Struthio camelus: one gene and its partners. The protein of the gene in region 2 interacts with the protein of the main gene of each other region in a pairwise test. Links are inferred from orthologs where the notes say so. Each region holds a gene or a part of one and is shown on either strand. Other genes may lie near its edges. The genes, in order: AEN, AAMP and BHLHE40.

Region 1 (7,169 bases), on a different chromosome or scaffold from region 2:
GCTGTGCAGACTTTCCCTGCAGAAACAGCCTCCTTCCTTTTTCACTGAAGCAAAGATGATATGAGAACTATCTACTGATAATCCTGAGCTTATAGCATAGAGGTTAGTGGAACCAGAGGAGTCCACGATACTCACATGGACCCATTTAAAGCAATTTTGACTTTTTCACTTCCATCCCTACACCTGGGATACAGGAGAAAAATGACACTGCTATTCCCTTGCAGTCAGACCGATCACAGCCTTGTAAAACTGGAAAAAGTTTTTGCCTCCTCCCCCCAAGCTCTTAATTGCCGCTATCAAGATTCCTTTGGAACCACGAGGGTACAGCTAGAACTTTGCACTGTCAAGGAGAATCACATGCCTTTTGCAAAACGTAATGCCTGGGAAAGAAGATTGCTGAGCAAAGAGTAAGCGAGATGGATGGGTTTATTGTGGACAAGCAATGACTAATCAGACCCAGGAGTACAACAGCACTGTGTCAGAGGAGAAGCTGTCAACCATGTTCATCAATAAGCACAGCACAGCTGATGGATCTCAGCTAGGAGATTTTAGACAACCTCTTAGGGAAGTTTCTATGGGCCAGATTCTGGCTGCAGCTCTGGGAGATGCCTTGAGTTATACCTTGTCCTGCTCCTGCTTTCTCCCAGAGAGAGATCAGGTCTCTGAGCAGTTCAGAGCACTCCCTGTCCCGCTACAGCATGCGAAAAAGAAGAGCAGCCAGTGACACCACATCTTTGCCCGCCTGGATCTCCCAGGTCTGGGGAAAGCCTGTTGTTGCCATGCTGGCAATGCAAAGCCGTGGTCCTACAACTCTCGAGCCAGTTTTGGTGGGAAAGAAGCTGTAGAGGTGCAGAGAAGTCACCGACGCTGGAACAGCTCAAGGGAAGTTCAGATGATATTTGAACTAGTTGCTAAACCATTCCCCAGTGGGTTTCCAGAGATGACTTGACAGAGGAGAGCTTCCTATAGGAAACAGGTCCTGCATACCTTGGGTTCGCCATTCCCAGAGACAATCAGGGAACAATGCCCAAGAAATCCCCTTCAACAGGACCAGGATTGCACTGAAATCAGTAATTCTTGCACACCAACCAGAAATATCACAGGCAGAGTGATCCTCTGTTAACAAGCATCTGAAGGGCTTTGCTCGCTGGAAAACCTGGAATGAGCTTCACTGCCTGAATTGCATGTATTGCTGATCCCCCTGAGTTTCACCCCTCACCCAGCCAGCTACATCTGCCCCATCTGCGCTGACACCATGGGAAGCAACATGCCGTCTCTCCCGCGGTGCTCCCCCCACTGCAGTTTCAGAGGTAGGTTTGGCATCTCGCTGCTGTTTCTCCAGGCTCTGCCGGCACTGTGGCCAGCACCTGGCATTCAGCAGGCAGGAGGAAGGATAAGCTCCCACCTCAGCCTCGGAGCAGCCTCAGCATCTCACCTACACTTTTCCAGCCGCAGCTGGAGACGAGCAGTTTGATGGAAAGGTCACAAAATGCTACGAACCTGCTGGCTGCTTCCGAGCAGGAGCGAAGGGAAGGGGGAGGGAGGGAGGGGAAGAAAGAGCACTTGCATCATCTCAGCCCGAGGAAGGGCTATCACATCCGCTTGGCCCCTTTGAAATCCAGGCTGAGCCAGTACCTGACAACATCTTATTTACAAGACGAACGTGGCCCCTTTTCATGCCCACGCTTCCGCTGGGAGCTGCTGGTGGTTGCCCTAATCGATTGGCTATTCTAAATATACAGGCTCTTGGGATGGGGGAGCTGTAAATTGGTTTGGCTTTGCAGCTCAGTCTCTGGCAGAGGATTCGAGCAGCGGTGCCAGGGCAGGCAGGCCAAGCCAGCCCCCGGTGAGAGCCTTGTTTCGCGAGAGGGGGCCGCTGAGCCGGGGAGCAGGTGCCAGCCGGCCCGGCCCCCTCCATTCCTGTGTGCACCTCTGGTGGAGTCGGGAAAAGCGCGCGGTATCCGCGTCGGAGCGTGAAACACAGGTCAGACCGTGTTGCTTTCTATGGCGATTGCTCTGCAACAGCGCTGAGCACCGGAGCTTTATTCGTAATAACCTCAGCACTTGCGCTCAGGGTGCCCGGCTGCACCCAGCTCCAGCCGGCTCGCCAGCACGCGCAGCGTCCGGAAGGCTTCTGCAGCCCTTTGCAGCAATGGTCGTAACTTTAATGCTTTGGGGGGGTTAATCATCCCTAGGAAAGCAAAACAGCAATGACGGTACCAGGGAAAAGCCCTCAAGAGCCAGTCCCCTGGCACACGCTGGGTGCTGTCTCGCGGGCTCCCGCTGCGGCCCCACACCAGCGGTCGCACGCCGGCGCTCTTCATTTCTCTAGCACCGAGCTCGAGGTGGTCGCAGAGGCGATGCTGCAACAGTCAGCTCACTGCCTGCGTACAGGGGCGTGCAGGGCACAGTGACCCCCAGCAACCCAAAATGAACCGTCACCACGAGCGGCGTTGCACCATTTCACCAGAAATAACAAAAACGAGCAGAAATTTCTACAAGGAGACCTGCCAGGGCTTCCTGACAAGTTATTGTGGGACACTTTAAAGACTCTCATTAGGGGGAATTAAATTAGCTTAACAGCAGGGAAGGAAGCGAGATATGCAAAGCGCAGAGCAATAGATTTAAGGAAAAGGTTTACTAGCCGGAAGAAAAATGTAAAAGGACGAGGAAAAATTAAATTACGGGGTGATTTAATTCTTTTAATTCTGAACAGGCAGAACAAGCCCACAGGTGGTTTAAAAGGGAAACAAAAGAGCACGCTAACACTGGTCCTGCACGCTTAGCCCGGGGCAACAAGCTGAACTGCTTCCCTAAGACGTGGGGAAACGCACTTCTTGCCACAAAAAACCACTTTAGGCCAGCCCAGGCGGCCACATCCAGCGCACCCGCGCAGGGGCCGCGGAGGAGCCGCCTGCAGGCTCAGGACAACGGCCCCTCCGGCCGCAGGCTCGCCAGCGGCGGGCCCGAACGCCACGGCCGTCCAACGCAGCGCTCTTGGGCACCGACACGCAGCCCCGAAACGGGACGCGGTCCAGCTGCGTCGGGCCACAGCGCCGCGAGGCCCGGCAGCGGGGCGGCGGGCAGGCCGGGCCGCTCAGAGCCAGCGGGCCGCCGCGGCGGGACGAGGACGCACGTCGTGCCCGGCCCCCTGTGGAAGACTAGTGATTTTGTTGTTGTATAGCTCGCCTCACGACAACAAGTCACAGTCTGCCTTAGGGCGCCCGGCCTCTCCGGCGACCGCACGAAGCGCAGGGCCGGCGCGGGGGCCCCCCGGGCCACGGCGCGGCTGGGCGACCCGGCTCCGCTTCTGATCACCTCGGCCGTTGCTTTCGTGAGCCTGGCAGGGGAAAGCAACGAGAGGCCGGTCTGAAACCCCCGTCTGCGTCCGCCGCGGCCCGGGAAGCGCCGGGCACCGGGCCGAGCCGGCTGGCAGCTGCCGCCACCACACGCTCGCCTGGGCCCACGGGCGGGAGGGGAGACGCTGCGACAGGTACCGGCACGCTTGGGTGGCGGGACGGTGCCGGAGGATGATCAGGAGAGCTAATGTCCCCTTCCCTGCGCCACCAAGGGATGGGACCACCAAAAAAGTTTCTGACTGGTTCAGAGATGCCCCCAGCCGAGTGCCTCTGGAAAGGCCCCATCCCAGCGGGAACGGGCTCAGAGGTCGGGTAGGCAGAAGCAAAGAGGAGACCAGCATCCGGAGCAGCCCCGGGAGCAACGGGGCACCGGGAGGGCCGTGTCCTGTCCACGGGCACCTGCTCTTTTCCCAGCGCTGGGTTTAGTTCCTTCTTACATCAGCCGCCCTGAACGAACGAGGAGTTCCCTACAGCGAGGGCCCTTTCTGGGAGCACCTCGGCCCTAGAGGCAGGGCCCTATAGCCAGGTGCCTCCTGCCCTATAGCTCATTTAGGGAGGAGAGCCCCTGCCTGCGGGCCCACGCGTGCGGGGGGGCGGGAAGGCCAGCCCTATAGCCGAACCCACGCGGGGAGAGACCAGCCCTACAGGCGGGGGCCCCCGCAGCCTCGCCCCAGCCAGAGGGGCGCTCTCGCCCCGCCCCTTTATGCAAATCTAGCCCCCACGCAGCCAGTGGGAGGGATCGGGGGCGGGGCCACGGCGCGGCTTGCCCGGGCATGTGAGCGCGGCGGCTTCCGGCAGAGACACGTGGGAGCCGGGCCGGGCCGGGCCGGGCAGCGGTGGGTGAGGGGTTGTGCGTGGGGGGGCGGGGGTCGGGGCTTGTAAAGGGGCGGGCAGGAGGTTCTGGGGCTGGGGGGGGGGGGGGGCCTGGTCCTGAGCTATGGGGCGGACGGAGAGCCGGGGCCTAGTAACGAGGCGGGCAGGGGGCCTAGGGGTGGGCAGGGGGGCCTGGAGCTGGGCTATCGGGCGGGCAGGGGGCCTGGGGCCGGGCTGTGGGACGGGCAGGGGGGCCTGCGGCCGGGCAGCGGGGCGGGCAAGGGGCCCTAGGGCTGGGTAGGGGGGCCTGGGGCCGGGTATGGGAGCCTGGGGCTGGGCAGGGGGGCCTGGGGCCGGGTATGGGAGCCTGGGGCTGGGCAGGGGGGCCTGGGGCCGGACAGCGGGGTGGGCAGGGGAGCCTGGGGCCGGGTATGGGGGCCTGGGGCCGGGCAGCGGGGTGGGCAGGGGGGCCTGGGGCCGGGTATGGGGGCCTGGGGCCGGGCAGCGGGGTGGGCAGGGGGGGCCTGGGGCCGGGTATGGGAGCCTGGGGCTGGGCAGGGGGGCCTGGGGCCGGGTATGGGGGCCTGGCGGTAGACAGCAGGGTGGGCAGGGGGGCCTGGGGCCGGGTATGGGGGCCTGGCGGTAGACAGCAGGGTGGGCAGGGGGGCCTGGGGCCGGGTGTGGGGGCCTGGCGGTAGACAGCAGGGTGGGCAGGGGGGCCTGGGGCCGGGTATGGGGGCCTGGCGCTAGACAGCAGGGTGGGCAGGGGGGCCTGGGGCCGGGTGTGGGAGTCTGGGGCTGGGCAGGGGGGCCTGGGGCCAGGCAGCGGGCTGGGCAGGGGGGCCTGGGGCTGGGTATGGGGGCCTGGGGCTGGACAGCGGGGTGGGCAGGGGGGCCTGGGGCCGGGTATGGGAGCCTGGGGCCGGGCAGGGAGGCCTGGGGCCGGGCAGCGGGCTGGGCACGGGGGCCTGGGGCCGGGCAGGGGGGCCTGGCGCTAGACAGCAGGGTGGGCAGGGGGGGCCTGGGGCCGGGCAGGGGAGCCTGGGGCCGGGCAGGGGGGCCTGGGTCCGGGCAGCGGGGTGGGCAGGGGGGCCTGGGGCCGGGCAGTGGGGTGGGCGGGGGGCCAGGCAGTGGGGCAGGCAGGGGCTTGGGGCCCAGTAATGGAGCAGGCAAGGGGGCCAGGCTGTGTGGTGGGCGGGGGGCCTGGGGCCAGTAATGGTGCATGCAGGGGCCTGGGTCCCAGGGGTTGCAGCATCCCCCCTTCCTGCCTCTTGTCCCCCACCAGGGCTGCCCACTCCTGCCCGCGGTTGGGGGCCGGGAGGGCTCTGCGGTGGGGTGTGCCAGCCCCCTTCTCTTCTGGGAGTGCTGGTGTGGGGCTGTGTGGCGCTAACCCCCGTGCCCGTTCCAGCAGGGATGTCTCCTGGCAAGGGGCAGATGACCCCGCTCCTGGGCCCCCCAAAGGTTTCTGCACCAGCCCCGAAGGCTGCTCATGGCCCTGCTGCGGAGGGCAGCCCTCGGCCCCCAGCACCCCTCTGCCCCCAGATGGCCTCCGAGGGCCCTGGCTCGCCGCAGGGGCGCAGCAAGAAGAAGAGCCGCAAGCACCAGCGGTTCCTGGAGCGCAGGGCGCTGCTGGAGCAGAAGGGGCTGCTGAGACCCCGCAAGCGGCAAGTTGGCCAGGTCCCTACGGCCAGGCCAGTGGAGGCCGCCTGCAGCTCGCTCACCAAGGCGGGCAGCAAATGCAGCCAGCTGGCCAGCGAACCGCAGTGCGGGAAGGTCGGGAAGCCCAAGCAGGTCCTCTCCCTGTCCCCATCCACCTCTCCGGACAGCATAGCCAGGCACCACTCTGCACTGCTGTCCCAGGATGACAGTGGCAGCTCCACGGGGTTGCGGACATCCTTGCCGCTCCTGCGCCCAGGGAAGTACGTGGCCATCGACTGTGAGATGGTGGGCACCGGCCCTCGGGGGAAGCTGAGCGAGCTGGCACGGTGCACCGTGGTGAACTACGAGGGGGATGTTGTCTATGACAAATACGTCCAGCCCGAGCTCCCCATCGTGGACTACCGGACGCGCTGGAGTGGGATCACGAAGCAACACATGAAGAATGCAATTCCTTTCAGGGCTGCTCAGGCAGAGGTGAAATGGGGAGATGTAAGCCCCGGGGGCAGGAGGGGTACGACCACGCAGCCCTGAGCTAGGCTTTGCTCCGTTCCCTGTTGGGATGACCGTGCCCCAACACCCTTTTACCAGGATTCAGACAAGTCCATAGCGAGTCCTGTGCCCACACCAGCACCTCCTTCTGGTCCATCTCATGGCGGGGATTTTTACTTATAAAAATGGTGCTGCTTAGCTTCTGTTTACTTCCAGTCTCTCAGGAGTCTCTCTCCTGCCAAAAATCTTAAACTGCTGCAAACAAACCGCAGGCAAACAGCAACAGCCCCTCCAGCAGGACTGTGTCCGTGGGAGGGAGTTAGAAATATTCAGTGAAGTCCTGTCATAAATGGTTCTTGTCACTTTGCAAAAAAGTTATCATTAAATTCATGTTTAATTAAAAGCAGTAATACCGTGCTTTTGTTTATTAAAAAACAAAAAAAATTGCATGTTATCTGCCAGCCCCAAACTGGCTAAGAGGAGACCCATGCTGAGCTGCTCTGATGTACAGACACAAGCACAGGACCAGGAGCCCCCTAAGCCTTGTCTGAGGTTGGTTTGCTGTAGCTGAGCATCTGTGCCTTAAGGCTTTAACCAGTGCACTACGTGCCTGCCTTGTGCTGCTGTGGACTTAAGTAACACTGTGTAATGGGACCAGCTGATTACCTCTCAGTTCTGGGAACCTAAAAGATTAGAATCGAAGAAACTAAATTTAATGCAAAATGGTTTGTTTTATACGTAATCTGTGTTTCTTTTGCTGCACCGCTTGTCTAACCCCATCTGACGCTTCCAGATCCTGAAGATCTTGAAAGACAAGATTGTGGTAGGACACGCCATCCACAATGACTT
Region 2 (7,884 bases):
GGCCTGGGGCTGGCAGGGGGGCCTGGCCGTGCCCCGGTGTTACGCCAGCTGCCCCCTCGCTCCGTGTGGCCTGGGATGCCCTTAGCCCCCGGGGAGGAGGGGGGCAGCCCCTGCACTGCTGGCATGCGCAGTGAAGGAGGGAGGTTACGTGGGGAAGGAGCGGGGGCAGCAAGGAACTGCCCCACGGACGGACGGCAGTGCCCGTCGAAGGGGCAGAACAGACCCGCATCCCCAGAGGGTAAATCTGCCCCCAGGGCTGCTGGTTGCATTGCTGAATGAACCCTTCTCCTCTCTCCTGCAGACGCTGGCCATGGGGTTCATGACGGGGACGATCGCCAGGTACTCACCGGGGATCCTGGGGCCCTTCAGGGCAGGGGCTGTGGGCACAGACCCCGAGCAGAGATGCAGAGATTGGGGCCGGCCTTTGCCTTCAACGCCCAGAGTCCAACCCATCCTGCTGTCAGGCCGGCTCAAACGAGGGGCAGTGAAGCCCCTGGACGCAGGGTCCGTGCGGTCCCTCTGCAAGATCACAGCCACGGGGCCATGGGGACGGCCTTGGGGAGTGTAAATACCCTCTGGGCAGGGGGACCCTTTTCCTGGCTCCCCCGAAGCATGGGGTGACGCTGGTGTCCTCTCTGTCCACAGCATGTACAGGACCAACGCCGTCCTCATTGCTATGCTCATCACTGCCATCGTGGCCATCATTGTCACCGTCTTCTGCTTCCAGACCAAGGTGAGGTGCAGAGGCAGGCTGTGAAGGCCTCCCCGATGTAGGGTACGGCCGGGGTTGGATGCTCGGTGCGGGGTTGCTGGGGACACTGCTGTCCCTGCAGGCTGCCCTGTGGCCCCGGTGAGCTCAGCATGGCCCTGAGCTTTCCCATGACACGTCCACCCTCCTGGCAGGTTGATTTTACATCGTGTCCTGGGCTCTTCTGCGTGCTGGGCATCGTGGTGATGGTCACCGGGATCGTCACGGCCATCGTCCTCTCTTTCAAATACGTGAGTAGAGGGGGCTGCAGAGCGCCACGAGTCACCCTTGCCTGTCTGGGCAAGCAGCTGGGTCCCCCTAGCTGTAACCCAGTGGCAGCTTGGCCCCGGGGATGGCAGAGGTGGGATTGGGAGCGGGTGGTGGGTGGATCCCCTTGACCTGGGCTGGTGCCAGGAAGCAGCGTGTGGTGTCAGCGCAGAGGCAGCTTTCCCGCAGAGAGAGGGTGCGGCTTGCGGTATCTCCGGGGAAACTGGGTGCAGGCAGAGTCCCACGTGCCAGCCCAGGGGCTGGGGCAGGGCTGTGCCTTGCGGTCACCTGCTCACGGGTCATCGTCTCCCCGCCTGCAGGTCCCCTGGCTCCACATGCTGTATGCGGCCATCGGAGCCATCGCCTTCACCCTGGTGAGTTGACAGCTCAGGCGCTTTCCCTCCTGGGCTGGGTCCCTCTGCGGGGTGTAGCAGGGGGCTGTGCTCCCAAAGTAGTCATTCGGAGGTGGGGGGGGCAGATACCCCCAGGAGATCACCAATATCTCTGCCTGACTCTCGCTGTGCTCTTCCCAGTTCCTAGCCTACGACACCCAGCTGGTGCTGGGGAACAGGAAGAACACGCTGAGCCCCGAGGAGTACGTCTACGGTGCCCTGACCATCTACACCGACATTGTGTATATCTTCACCTCCATACTGCAGCTTGTGGGCCGGGACTAGCCCCTGCCCTGCACCGGGCCCCCTCTTCTCCTTGCCGACCTCTGCTTCTCTCCCTCTCCTCCACAAAGCTGCTCCTCTCCCATCTTGTCCTTGCCCCAGGAGCCTGGCAGAGCAGCACGTGCCCGAGGTGGGTCGGTGTCACTGGGCTCCTGCTGGCCCCTCTGCTAGGCCCTGTAGCCCTCCCGCTGCTGCAGGCCAGCTCTGTGCCCCGCAAGGTGTCTGTCCCTGGACCAGGGTGCCCAGCTGGCCCCCAGGACAAGGGGCTGTGCTCAGTGCCGGAGCCCCCACGGTCACAGCCGGAGTCGGGGGCACAGCTCAGGCACAGGGGGGGTCCTCGGTGCCTGGGCAGGGCTGCCACCACCCCCCGATCCGCGGGTTCACTCGGCACGCGCCTGGTGCACAGTCGGAAGGAAAGGCAGAGGTCAGGGGCCTGGCATGAGGGCGAGGCTTCCCGGCGGGGCGGTGTTTCCTAAGCTTGTAAATAAGCAGCAAAACCAGTGCCTGTATGCACTATACGGCCAGTTACCGGCTCTCAGCCTGGTCCGAGATTACTCCTAATGCTTCAGCACCCCTACCTGTAGGCTGCTAAGGAAGGGGCTCCCCTTGACCCCTCCCAGTCTCTGGAGCCTGGGAGGTAGTGGGGGAACCAGCCAGCAGCATTCAGCCAGGACCCAGCCTCAGCGCCCATTCCCTGAGGACGCACTGGTGCGTTGGCAGTGCTGCTGTTACGCTGCCATGCATTAAACAGCCTTGTGCTTGCACAAGGGCAGTTGTGCGGCGGTTGCTGCCTCGGAGCTGAGGCCAGATGTGTCTGCCTGATGTGGCACCTCCCATGCAGCCACTGGAGGGGCTGGCAGCACTGGCGGGCAGGGCCGAGCTGCTGTCTCGCCCCAGGCTCCCAAGGAACATGTCAGGCCCTGGCTTTTTGCAGAGATGCTCTGGTCTGATCCAGCTTCATTCACTCAGTGCCTTAAATGTAGCTGCTCTGTGGCTGCCCCATGGCTTGCCCAGCCCCCCTGCCTAGCCATGCCTGCCACAAGCTCTGGCAGTGCTTGCTCTGGGCCGAGGCAGCCAGGACCCCTGCAGTGGGATTGGGGACATCTGTACAAAGCTTGTGTTACAAAGGACTCGCAGCCGTGGGAGCAGCCTGCCTGGCCCTCGGATGTGGCCAAAGTTGCACTTGCTAAATAAAACACTTTAATTTTCCAAACAGCTGAGTCTGCTTTGTGGGGTGAGCCCATCCAGGATGCCAACGCCTACCCACCATATTGAGCTCCCAGATCTCCCCAAGATTGGGAGGAGCTGGAGTTCGCAGAACACCTTGGCCAAAAGGCTCAGCTCTCCCAGCAGGGCTGCGGGTTATCGGATGGGGCTGAGCGGGCACCAGGAGGAGGGTGAGCAAGCAGCAACTCCCTCAGAAAGCTCTGAGCCACGTCAGCAGGGGCAGCAGCTCACAGCAACACAAACCTTGCCTTGTAGAGATAAAGTCAAGGCTGAGCTGTTCCAAGCGGTGGCCTCCCAGCTGCCTTTCCCTCCCACCCCCGCAGGCAGGGCTGGGCCCCTGGCTGCGCACAGCACACTCTGCAAAGGGTGCCCGTGACAGGCAAGTCAGCGCAGCTGGGAAATACTCCCGTGGGAGAGGAAGGAGGAGCAGGCAGAGCCTGGGGCTGAGCACAGAGGGAGTGATGACAGTGGTACAGGGCTCTTTCACTCCCCATACCCGAGGGGAGAGGTTTATTTACCCCCATCCAGCCCTCCCCGACTGCCACACGTACTGGAGAGGGGAGAGCAGGCCCCAGTGCCCTGTGCCAGCAAGGTAGGCATGTCCCTGGACAGTCCCTTCAGGGGCACGGCCTGTCCCTGCCGTGGTGTCCGGCTCTGAGGGGGCGGCCTGGCTATGCCCCCCTGACTGCCCTCTTGTATCGCTCTGTTTCGTACTTGCCCTCGTTGGATCCCATCATCTTCCGGCGGATCTTGAGCTGCTCCAGGCGGTTTTTGTCCACTTGCTGCTTGGCCAGGAGGAAAAGCACGATGCCAGAGGGTAACCCGATGGCCCTGCAGGACAGCCAGCAGGCAGGAGATGGAGAGGGTCAGCAGGGCAACAAGGGGCCTGTGCCACCCTGGGATGGGACAGACACCCACCGCACTTAGTGCTGCAGCCCTGGGCTCCCCAGGGACCCCCCCCCCGGGCCCCACGGCCCCACACAACAGCGTGCTGCAAAGGGGCCTCTGGGGTCCCCGGATCACGAGCACCAGACCGGGGCAGCCGTGGGACCCTCCGCAGACAGTGACCCCCCCCCCCAGCACCCGTCCCAGGGCCACGCTACCCTCCCAGCAAAAAGCGCCGCCACTCACCAGGCCACCCCGACCATCTTCATGGGGTTCTTGCCCTTGCGCGTGGGGATGTACTCCACCCCCTCGGGGAGCTGCCCGCCGCCCGCCGAGCCGGCCCGTGACTCTGCCGCCGGCTGGCAGCCCCGCCGGAGGAGCCGGGCCCCCGCCGGGGCCGCCAGCCCTGGTAGCAGAGAGGGGGGGTCAGCGGCTGCCTCGGAGCCCCCCTGGGTCCGGGACCCCCGGGCCTAACCCCACCCGGGGGGGGGCGCCCGCACCCCCACCCTGCCCCCTCCTCGGGGGGGGCGCGCCTGGGGGCGTGGCCATGGCCGGGAGGGGCGTGGTCTCAGAGGGTGTGGGGCGGGAAAACCCGAGGGGGCGTGGTCAATGCCTCGGGGGGGCGTTGCCGACCCCCCGAGGAAGCGGGGCTTTCGGAGGGGCGTCACATCACGGCGGGGCGGGGCCAAGCTCCGGAGGGGCGGGACGGGAAGGGGTTGCCTAGGGCGATGGGGGCGTGGCTAAGGGCCTGGGGGCTGCGAGGGCGGGGCTATGTGTCGAGGGTCTCGAGGGACAGGGTCGCTCCCACCCCGGGGCCGCCCCCCCCCCACCCCGGCCTCGCGTTACCCCGCAGTCCGCCGAGTACCGCCGCCATCGTACCCGCCCCTGCCCGTTTCCCGTCGTGCCCCGCGCTCCAGGTGTGACGCTGAGTGCCGGGAGTTGTAGTCTGCCGCGCGGGGGCCGCCGGGAGGAGGCACTGCCTGGGCAGGGCGCGAAGAACTACAACTCCCACAGCACCCCGCGCGGGACGGCGTCAGCCTACCCTGCTGGCGGACTGACGGGGGAGGGGTGGGGCTTGAGTGAGGAAGCGGGCGAGGACTGGCTAGAGGGAGTTTCCCGGTGGGAAGGGATTGGCCGGGGCGGGGCGAGCGGCGGAAGCGGAGGCAGCAGGGTCGGGTGCGCGGGCAGGCCGGCATGGAGCCCGCGGAGGAGCCGGGCGCGCTGGGCTTCCACGGCGACGAGGAGATCATCGAGGTGGTGGAGCTGGGCCCGCCCGGGCCGGGTGAGACGAGGCGCCCCCGGGCCGGGGCACGGGGACGAGCCCTGCGGGGGGCACCCGGCCTCCCCCTGGGGGCACCGGGCCCGGGCTCGGCCCTCGGGGCGGGGTTGTACGGGCCTGGCCGCAGGGCCTCCCCCTCGGGTTGCAGCCGGCCCGGGGCTGGGGCCGGCGGCGGCTGGACGAGCCGGTGGCAGTGCAGGGGGTTGCACGGAGCGTGCTGCCCTCCGGTGCCCGCTGTCCCCGGAGCCCCAGGACTGAGCAGACCCCCCCCGCTGCCCTTCCCCACGGCTCGGCTGCCCCCGGGGAGCGGTGAACGGCTGCTGCCTCTGCCCGAAGCCCCCTGCGCCCACAAAACCGGTCCTCTTAGCTGGATCGAGCCCCTTCGTCCCTCAGAGCTGGCCCTGGCTCCCACCAGGACTCCCCGGGGGCCCTGTCCTTGCCCACTGCTGGTTGCCCTGTTTAGGCTGAGCTGGTCTGGCTCTGGGGCAGGCTGCCAACCAGGCGCTGACGTTAGCTCTCTGTAGATGACCTGGCCGACGAGATGGAGGACGTGGACTTTGATGAGGGGGCAGATGAGCCTGATGCCGAGGCTTGGGAGACAGAAGAGGATGATGAGGGGGTGGAGGACAGCATGGAGGCGCAGGACGACAGCGAGGTCACGTTCTCCCTGCACTCAGGTGAGTGGTGAGCCTGAGTGGACAGCGGGGCTCTGCTGGGGTGGTTGCCGGGGGGGTGCTGCCTTCTGGGACCTGCTTCAATCCCTGTTCTCCACAGTGGAAGGGAACACAGGTAGGGCCTTGCTAGTGTGCTGTCTCCCTGCTGTTTCTGGGCCGTTTATCAAAATTCAGAGTTGGGTGCTTTCAGCTTTGCTCGTTTCTTCCCTACACTGCTGTAGAGAAGCTTCCTGTGGAAGCCTTGGGGATGCTCCTTATCAGGAGCGGAGCTTCTGCTCTAGGTACTTTCAGACCTCAGGGCTTCCTAGCATGGCCTTGACAGCTAGCAATGAGCTTGGCAGACAGCCTGTACTGCTCTGGCAGGGCCCAAATCGCTACCCAGTGGGAAGAACTGATCCCCAGTGGTTTGGGTTTTTAGTCCAGCTGGGTGGCATCTCACCTAGTCCTGATACTGTGTGGTTTGGAGCCCTTGGCAATGTCTGATGGGGCATGAGGAGTGTCTGAGCTGTGTAGTCACTTTCTGCTCTTTTGTGCAGCTTCTGTTTTCTGTGTGAGCCTTGACCCCAAGACCAACACACTGGCGGTGACAGGTGGGGAGGATGACAAGGCCTTCGTGTGGCGCCTGAGTGATGGAGAGCTCCTGTTTGAATGCTCAGGTGAGGTGCTTTGGCCAGGTCATCCTCTGCACCAGGGGGGCAGCGGGAACGCTGCAGGAGGATGCGCACTGGGGAAAATGATAGGGGTGAAATTATGGCGTGTCCCCTCCCAGCAGCGTCTCTCCAGACCTGCTCTCCTCCCACGCAGTGCTCTGGTGGAGCCAGGCTCCTGATCATCTTCCATAGCTGCATTTGGTAATTAAATAATTTCTACTTCCTGCCATCTCTAGGACACAAGGACTCAGTCACTTGTGCTGGCTTCAGTCACGACTCTGTGTTTGTGGCCACAGGCGATATGTCCGGGCTCATCAAAGTGTGGCAAGTGGATACCAAGGAAGAAGTGTGGTCCTTTGAGGTGGGGGACTTGGAGGTGAGTGGCTGAACTGGCTCTTATGGGGCTGGCACCTGGGACCCAGGTCTGATTCCTCTCCCTTCTGCTCTCTGCTGGGTGGCAGGGATGGATGCTGGCCCGTGCCAGTCCTACCAGTTGAACCCATCATCCAGCAAAGTCATCACTGGAGATTTTGGTGCCGCTCAGTGCAGCGTGAACATGTAGTCCCTGAATACCCTCCTGGCTGCTCCATGCAGGGCTAGTTCAGGCCCCTCAAGCTCCAAGTTGAAGACTTTTCCCTTTACAGTAACACCAAGAGGGCTCGAGCCCGCAGCAGGACCCTCTCATGGCAGGCCCAAGCTGAGCACAGAGCTAATGAGAGCAGGCTCAGGGCTAGGGTCATGCATGGTTGTACTTTGGCCCAGGGCAGGGCAAGGGGGAGTTTGATCCTTTCTCTGGGGTCCTCTAAACCCAAGGCCACCCTGTGACATTGCATGTCCCTCGCTCTGCGCAGTGGATGGAGTGGCATCCTCAAGCCCATGTCCTTCTGGCGGGCACAGCCGATGGCAACTCCTGGATGTGGAAGATCCCCAGCGGAGACTGCAAAACCTTCCAGGGCCCTGCGTGCCCGGCCACGTGTGGCAAGATCCTGCCTGATGGTGAGGCACAGAGGCTGTCTGGGGAGGGGAGTGTCACCAGCTCTGGCTATGAGGCCCCTTGCAGATCCTGCTGGAACCATGTGCCACCCTTTTTCTGCAGAGCTAGGGGCACCCCAGGGTGCCTGGCTCTGTCCAGTCTGGGCTGAGCAGGAGGTGGAGGGGTGAGGGAGGCTCTGGCTCTAGCTGCCAGTTCTGTCTCATCCAGGGAAGAGAGCGGTGGTTGGATATGAAGATGGGACCATGCGCATCTGGGACCTGAAGCAGGGAACCTCGCTGCATGTCCTGAAAGGTTGGAAAAGGGTTAATCACCGGGGGGGGGGGGGGCTTTCTAGTTGGGGAATGGGCTTCCAGTGGGCTCTGATGTCTGCCCTTGGGAAGAGGTGGCTCCTTATGAGGCCACGGGCTGCTGGAGGAGGCCTGAGACTGGGTGGGCTGGCTGGGTTTCCCTGCTGAATTACCCCTCTCCCCTTGGGTGGCTAGTCCC
Region 3 (7,847 bases), on a different chromosome or scaffold from region 2:
TCACGTCACTGCTAAAAGGGCCTTCGTCTTCGGAAGTTTCCATCCTGGTCCTTTTGGCTGGTGGGTCCTCAGTCTCTTGCTTAATAGAGCTTATTCTCTCCTGGACAGTATATTTGAGTTCCGTATCCTTTTTAAAATACTGCTGCTCGGATTTGGAGTCACTTTTCTCCAGCTCTCCCCCATAGCCGCTGTCTGTGTCGGTGTCGCTGCCGCTCTGCTCGCCGCTGGAAGGAGCGAATGTCCTCTGTATCACCGGCACGCAGTTTTTGCCATGTCCCTCGGCCGCTCTGGTCAAGGAGCCAGACTTCTCCTTCGAGTCCACTGTTTTCGGAGGGATGTCTGCGGCTTTTCGGCCGGCTCCGCCCTGGAGCACCTCGGAGGCCATTCGGTGCAGATGGCCGACCAGCTGAGAAGACTTCAGGTCCTTGCCGTTCTCGTGCTTTGCCAGGTATTGCAGCATCTCCTTGGCGCACATCTGGAAACCGGATCGAAACATTTCCTGGCTGGAATCGAGGTTTCTTGATGACAGGTCACCTGAGGAAACGTTAGCAGAAAGAAATTAAAAATTAACAACGTGCTAAATAGGTCCATTCCCATCTTCGAGGCACCCTGGAGAGAAGGGCTTCACCTCCGCTGCTACAAAACAGCTGAACAGGCGAACCTGAGGGTCAAACCGTGTTTTACACGCGCTCCCCTGATTTCTGTACAGGCATACGTTGTTTCTTCTTACATCCACCCGTCCACTTTTGGATGTGAATTTCAAATTTGTTTTTTATTTCTAGGTCTCCTGTACGTGGCAACTGTAACACGGGTGCAGGTATGGAGAAACAGCAGTGAATCAACCTGGTACCTCCGCAGGGAAGAAGCGGTTTGAAAGCCAGTTTGCAACCCGCTTCCTTCCCACCAGGAAGGGAGCGCTTGCAGCAAGCTCACCCTCCTTCAGCTCCAGGAACCGAGGGCCGTTTTGCTTCAGCTATAGGACCTTGGCTTAAAGCTCGATCGCACACCCCGTGGCTATTAAAGCAGTGGAAATCTCTTTAGAACAGCTAAATTTTACTTTATCAGATTCACGTGAGTGCCACGTGTGAAAACAGGAGAAGGAAGTACATTTAAAGCACAATAAGCCGCTAGACCTGGCCCCCTCTTAGCCGACAGCAACACGGGCTGATCAGTTTAGAAAGAAGCCTAAAAAAAAAAAAAAAAGGTGTGTGCAAAAAAAGGCAGATGCTTTCATATTTTTGAGGAGGGAAAAAAAAAAACGGATTTGGTCCAAAGCTCCTAAACACCAATAGAAAGGCTCGGATGCCTTCGGAGAGAACCTTAAGCAAAACCGAGCTTTAAATAAAACTAGTAACGTTCAAATGAATTTTAAAACAAAACTCTCAGCGCGCTCTGAACTGACCGAACTAAGAAACGAAAAGCGTCTTTCTCCTGAGGACTCATGAGCAGAGTGAGGGAAGAGGAAGGCGATTAAAAGAAAGAACTCCTTCCTCCTCCTCCCTGCCCTGGGACCAAGTGCCACCAGGGCACGGCGCGGGCTGGGAAAGAGAGTCCAGGGCGCGCAGGCAGGTTCTCGCTCGCTGGGCTTTGAACACTCACCGGCTTGTAAGCCGTTCTGCAGGGCAATTATCTTCTGCTGCTGCTGCTCAATGAGGTTGGTCAGCGCCTTCACGTGCTTCAAGGTAAGCTCCAGAACCACCGCCTTCTCCAGGTGCCCCAGAGTCTGCAAGCCAAAGGGACGGGTCGGCGCCGGCCGCCTCCGACCGCGGGGAGCCCAAAAGGGCTTCCAGCGTTTTCAGAGCGACGGGCAGGGGCGGACGGCGCCGGGAGGCAAGGCTGGCGGGGCAGCGCCGTCGCCCGGGGCGGGGAGGGGGGGGCCCTGCTTCGCCCGAAAACCTATCTTTCTCGAACCTGCAAATAAACGAACTCGAAAGCAGGCCGCAGAAAAGGCTACCGTCGTGTCTCACGGTTATTTTCGGACCGACCGCATAGCTCACAGAGAAGTATTTTATTGATCTGTTCTGCTGCCCCTGCTGGTATCGTGACCTTAGCGCAGGGGAAGGCAGCCCGGAGCGGGCCCGAGAGCCGAGGGGAGCCCGGCTCTCCTCCGGGACCGCCAACAAAGCCAGCGGCGCCCGGGGTCGCGGAGGCGGGTGAACCCCCCCCCAGCCTTTCCGTGGGGTGGCAAGGGAAAACCCGCTCAGAGAGAGCGCCAAGGCCTGGGGGACCCCTGGGAGGGCGGTGGTGGCAGAGCCCTGGCGGGGGGACGGGGCGGCGGGGCGCCCCCCCCCCCCCACTTACGGTGAGTTTGAGATGCTCGGGCAGGAGGTCCTTCAGCTGGGCGATGCACTCGTTGATGCGGTCGCGCCTCTTCTTCTCGATGAGCCTGTGCGGCAGCTTGTAGGTCTCCTGGGGGGGAGGCAGAGGGGGCTGGGGCGGGGGCAGCGCGCCGCCGAGAGACCCCGCCGCCAGGCCAGGGGGCTTCGGCAGCATTTTTGGGGGGTGGGGGGGGGGTGCGGCAGGGTGGCTACAAGCGGGGCGCAAGGGCGCGGGGCAGGCAGCGCCCCCGGGGCGCGCAGAAAGTTTTCGGGCAAACCGCTGCCGAAAATCGGGAAAGGACGAGCTGCGCCCCCCCAAACCCCGGTCGGGGTCCCCCCCCCCTTCACCTTACTGTCGTCGCTCCTCTTCAGCCCCCTCCGCGGCTTGTACACTTGGTACATGTGGGCGAAGTCCAGCCTGCACGAGCGGAGGGAAAAGCGGGCGGGTTAGAGCGGCGCAGGGCGCAGCGCGGCGCAGCCCCCCGCGCAGCGCGGCGCAGCCCCCCCGGCGCTCACCCCGGCCCGTCGGTGCCCTCCAGGGCGGGCAGCTTGCCCAGGCACAGCGGCGGCGGCGGCGGGGCGCCGGGCAGCCGCTCCATGGCTGCGCGGGGCTGCGCGGGGCTGCGCGCTCAGGCGGCGGCGCGGCGGCGGCTCATGGCGCGCGGGCTGCGCGCGGCTGAGCGCGGCGGGGCGCGGCGGGCTGGGTTAAGTGCGGGCGGGCGGCGGCGGGCGCGGCCCGGGCGCTGCGGGCGGCGGCGGTGGCGGCGGCGGGGCCGCCTCTCTCCCCCCCCCCCCCTTTCCTTCCCTCCCTCCCTCCGGTCACATGAGTCTCACGTGGCGGCTCGTCTCCCCCCCCCCCCCTTTCTCCGCTCCGCGCCGCCCCGCGCAACGTGACGGCGGCGCCGCGTGGGAACGCGCCGCGCTGGGGAGCGCAGCCGCCGCCCGCCGTGCCCGGGGGCGGCCCCGCTCCGCCGGCCTCCGAGCTGCGCACGGGCGGCCCCGCGCTGCAGCCTGCGCCCTCTCCCTGCAGCCCGCGCTGCAGCCCGCGCGTTGTCCCTGCAGCCTGCGCTGCGCGCTGTCCCTGCGCGCTGCCCTGGACCCTGCCCCTGCACGCCACCCTGGGCACTGTCCCTGCACGCCGCACCACATGTGATCCCTGCGTGCTGCCCTGCACGCTGTCCCTGCACGCTGCCCTGGGCACTCTCCTTGCACAGCACACCATACACTGTCCCTGCCTGCTGCCCTGGGCACTACGCCTGCACGCCGCACCACATGTGATCTCTGCACGCTGCCCTGCACCCTGCACTGCTCACTGTCCCCGCATGCTGCCCCGCACGCTGTCCTTGCATGCTGCCTTGGGCACTGTCCCTGCACTCCACAGCACATGTGATCCCTGCACGCTGCCCTGCACAGCACACCACGCACTATGCCTGTGCGCTGCCCTGCCCTGCACGCTGCCCTGCACGCTGTCCCTGCACACTGTCCCTGCACGTCACCCTGCGCGCTGCCCTGCACGCTGTCCCTGCGCGCTGTCCCTGCACACTGCCCTGCACGCTGTCCCTTCACACTGTCCCTGCACGTCGCCCTGCACGCTGCCCTGCACGCTGCCCCTGCACTGTCCCTGCATGCCGCCCTGCATGTCGCCCTGCACGCTGTCCCTGCACGCTGCCCTGCACGCTGCCCTGCACGCTGTCCCTGCGCGCTGCCCTGCACGCTGTCCCTGCACGCTGTCCCTGCGCGCTGTCCCTGCACGCTGTCCCTGCACGCTGCCCCTGCGCGCTGTCCCTGCACGCTGTCCCTGCACGCTGTCCCTGCACGCTGTCCCTGCACGTCGCCCTGCGTGCTGCCCTGCATGCTGCCCTGCACGCTGTCCCTGCACACTGTCCCTGCACGCTGCCCTGCACGCTGTCCCTGCACGTCGCCCTGCACGCTGCCCTTCACACTGTCCCTGCACGTCGCCCTGCGCGCTGCCCTGCACGCTGTCCCTGCACACTGTCCCTGCACGCTGCCCTGCGCGCTGCCCTGCACGCTGCCCCTGCACGCTGCCCTGCACGCTGTCCCTGCACACTGTCCCTGCACGCTGCCCTGCACGTTGTCCCTGCACGCTGCCCTGCACGCTGTCCCTGCACACTGTCCCTGCACGCTGCCCTGCACGCTGTCCCTGTGCGCTGCCCCTGCACGCTGTCCCTGCACGCTGTCCCTGCGTGCTGCCCTGCACGCTGCCCTGCACGCTGTCCCTGCACGCTGTCCCTGCGTGCTGCCCTGCACGCTGCCCTGCACGCTGCCCTGCACGCTGCCCCTGCACGCTGTCCCTGCACGCTGCCCCTGCACGCTGTCCCTGCACGCTGTCCCTGCGTGCTGCCCTGCACGCTGCCCCTGCACGCTGCCCTGCACACTGTCCCTGCACGCTGCCCCTGCACACCGCCCTGCACGCTGTCCCTGCACACTGTCCCTGCACGCTGCCCTGCACGCTGTCCCTGCACGCTGTCCCTGCACGTCGCCCTGCACACTGTCCCTGCACGCTGCCCCTGCACGCTGCCCCTGCACGCTGCCCTGCACACCGCCCTGGGCACTATCCCTGCGTGCCGCACCGCATGCGATCTCTGCGTGCTGCCCTGCTCGTTATCCCTCCGCGCTACAGGAGCGCGGCCTCCACCTTGCGCCTGTGCCTTGGGCGCAGGGTGTGCAGGTGAACGTTTTATCGGCACAGCTGCGGTGTTAAAGGCTGCTCTTTCATACCAATATCCGTATACAGATTAAGGAAAAACAACAACAACAACAAAGAAACACATAAGCTGATACCCATATTAAACGCAGCCTCTGAACTAGGGAAACCCAGGGCGAAGCGACTGGGAGTCCAGGCCTGCTAGGGAACGGTTAGAGGGAGGTGCTATTTCTTGCCCGTCTCAGACGCTTCGGAGGTTTCAGTCTCCGGCGGAGCAGCCGGGATCCTTGGATGCCAGCTGCTGGCAGACGCCGCGTAGGACTGCGGCGGTGCGTGCCCGCCGGAGCGTGCCTTTCCTCCGGAAGGGTGCTGGTCATTTACCCTGCTGCGTGCGGAACAAGTAGAGGCAAGTTCACCCGATAAAAGGCGCATTTACCTAGAGAAGGCAACGGGAGCGGAGGGCAGAGCCGTCGCTGCCTCCCCGGGGGGTTCTGCACGCTCCCTGCAGGGAGGAACCTGCGGGCCGCAGGGATCACGTTGGGGCCTAAAGAGGTCTTACGCGAGAGACGGGGGCACCCGCTTTAAGGCACACCGTCGTTTGAGGATGCGTGTTATTACCAGGAGAAATCCTAGGAGAAATCAGAGCCCTGCAGCAATCTGCTAGCCTTGACTATAAGCTCTGTAAAAAAAAACAAAAAGCCAAACAATTCCTTACAAGAGCCAAGTGCATCTCCAGCACAAACGATACACCACTGCATTAACGACCCAGAGCTTCCGAAAAAAAAGATGCTTAGGTTGTGCCGGGCAATAGGCCTGTCCCAGTCAGTATGGTCTTCTCTGTATTTTGCGGCCCAGGTCTGCAAACGTGACATTTATCAGCAGGGCCAGCTCAGGCGCTTTGAGGGTCTGCCGTGATGCTGCAGACCCTGCCCACGAGCGAGACGATTCCAGCTCATCGGAGAGGACGTAGGTGTTGACAATTAAGCATCGCGCGTACACAGGGGTAGGATCAGACCTCCGGCCTGTAAACTTCTCAAAGCAGAGATTGTCGTTCATGCGGGTGCTTAATAAATTTGGTAATCATCGCCACAAAAATGAAAGCGATGTCTTTGTCCTTGCAGATGAGGTGAAAGCGAACAGAACCGGCATAAATAACGGGGAGTGAATCAGATGGTTAACTCTCTTTTTGCTCTGAAGATCTCAGGTGTGATCTGCCAAACAAAGGGGGAGAATCACATACGCTTTTCAGTCTGTGCCATCACTGACCCTCTGTCTAAGGCAACAGACATAATTAGAGCTTGCTGCAGCTGATTGCTAATGAAAAATGAGGTTTGGGGCCAACCTGCTCTGCATTTTAAGTTTAAACTCAGAGTGTACGTGGACAATTTCATGCCCATGAATTGTTTGACTCTTGCATGCTCTTTCAGATATTCGGTACATTCCTGCAGTGGGTGGTGAGCTACAAATCAGGGTCAGAGGTAATCCCCAATTATTTAGCCCTTTTACTGTTCTCGTGCTTGCCAAACAATTCTCCATATCAGGATTTACTCATGACCTTAAGGGAAGTTGCCAAGGATTTAGGAGTCCCCCTAAAAAGAGGATCCAAATGAAGTTATTACATTCTTGGGCATCAAGTTAGATTGCTGGAGAGTTGAATTACATTTTCCTGAGGATCAGTTTTCATAAGCTAAGGCTGATGCAATCATCAGTTTGCCATCTCGATTTTTTTTTTGTTGTTGTTGTTGCTGATTTATTTCTGCGTGGAAGGTTCTTTTACAACGTATGATTGAGGCAACAGCAAAACGTTTAAAAAGGCTTAATTTTCTAAAGCCATTAAGGGAGAAACTGGCCTTTCGAGCGCTCGTTTCAGAACGGCCGAGTGTCACAGGATAGCAGCAGCTTGCGTCCAACAGGGATTTGTAGTTATTTACAGATACGTTAAAAGGCAAGGGTTTGCAGTTTGTTTTTGAAGGTGTGCTGAAGGCTGGCGAAAGGGATTGAGTCCCTGGACGTGTTTCTTCCTGAGGGCTTGTCCCCTTCCAGCCACGAGGGTGGCAATTTGGGGTGAAACGTTCTGAAAATCACTGGCGCTGATGTCTGATCGGAGCCTATGTGGGCAGCGCTGGGAGTTAACAGATGGGTTGTGGATTCAAGCTTACGATAAGGTTACTGAGGGTGGTTTTGTTTTAAAATGTCTCTTACTTAATATATCCATGAAGGCCAGGCATGTGCCTGTGGCCTGTAATCAAATAGCTGACTCTCCTTCTCTCTCATTTCCAGCAATCTCGTGTCAGGTTACTGGCACCGGAGGTTAAAGAACAGCCATGTCTTGGACCACAAGCCAAGGTTGGAAGCTAAGGTTATGCCGAGCAGGAGGAGCTGCATGGAAGTGGTTAGCCCTCCGCATCTGACGGGCGTCCTCCAAGGGCTTTCTAGTTAACACCCATTACTTTCTGCAGAAGTAGAAGTTCACGGGGGAGCCAAGCAGTCTGTAAGGCAGCCGCGTGGAGCAGCTAGGTATAGCCTTCTACCAACCTTTACTCAGCAGATGTGGCAGGTCTTTCCCAAGACGGGCAGATCTCCAGCCCGTGGGAGGAGCGCTGAAGCCAGGCAATATTGCATCCTTCACCAAACGCTCGCCGTTTTACCGGGGCCTGGGCTGGGCGGTCGTTAGACTTCTTGCTCAGCGTAGCAATTTTTGAGCCAGGTTTCAGGAGCGCTCAAGATCAGCAGCTTACTGAAGGCCCTAGGCATATCATTTCTCAGCCTTATTGGTAAAGGCAAGCCCATGAGAACCCGCGCTCACCAGCCTGGCGGAGGATCCCCAAATCCTTCGCACGGGGTATGAGGAAGAGTTTGTCATC

The links.
Region 1: the proteins of AAMP (region 2) and AEN interact in binary tests that used the Homo sapiens proteins (3 or more experiments, as listed by UniProt). The link is inferred for Struthio camelus from reciprocal best matches to the Homo sapiens genes AAMP and AEN.
Region 3: the proteins of AAMP (region 2) and BHLHE40 interact in a two-hybrid assay, tested with the Homo sapiens proteins (2 studies listed by BioGRID and IntAct). The link is inferred for Struthio camelus from reciprocal best matches to the Homo sapiens genes AAMP and BHLHE40.

Annotation. Positions count from the first base shown.
Region 1 is NC_090953.1:9,579,507-9,586,675, forward strand, and holds the start of AEN (apoptosis-enhancing nuclease), read left to right. Parts: upstream 1-4,077; 5' UTR 4,078-4,195; intron 4,196-5,580; exon of another isoform or gene 5,581-5,583; 5' UTR 5,584-5,585; coding exon 5,586-6,305; intron 6,306-7,113; coding exon 7,114-7,169. UniProt on the Homo sapiens protein: Exonuclease with activity against single- and double-stranded DNA and RNA. Mediates p53-induced apoptosis.
Region 2 is NC_090947.1:28,586,128-28,594,011, forward strand, and holds the start of AAMP (angio-associated migratory cell protein), read left to right. Parts: upstream 1-4,884; 5' UTR 4,885-4,995; coding exon 4,996-5,083; intron 5,084-5,604; coding exon 5,605-5,757; intron 5,758-6,290; coding exon 6,291-6,410; intron 6,411-6,640; coding exon 6,641-6,780; intron 6,781-7,255; coding exon 7,256-7,400; intron 7,401-7,605; coding exon 7,606-7,689; intron 7,690-7,884. Other genes in the region: TMBIM1 (protein lifeguard 3), read left to right, coding at 302-339, 646-733, 904-999, 1,336-1,389, 1,549-1,692; uncharacterized protein, read right to left, coding at 3,588-3,747, 4,048-4,207, 4,648-4,675. UniProt on the Homo sapiens protein: Plays a role in angiogenesis and cell migration. In smooth muscle cell migration, may act through the RhoA pathway.
Region 3 is NC_090955.1:2,511,291-2,519,137, forward strand, and holds the start of BHLHE40 (class E basic helix-loop-helix protein 40), read right to left. Parts: upstream 3,001-7,847; 5' UTR 2,918-3,000; coding exon 2,835-2,917; intron 2,737-2,834; coding exon 2,667-2,736; intron 2,410-2,666; coding exon 2,302-2,409; intron 1,724-2,301; coding exon 1,600-1,723; intron 535-1,599; coding exon 1-534. UniProt on the Homo sapiens protein: Transcriptional repressor involved in the regulation of the circadian rhythm by negatively regulating the activity of the clock genes and clock-controlled genes.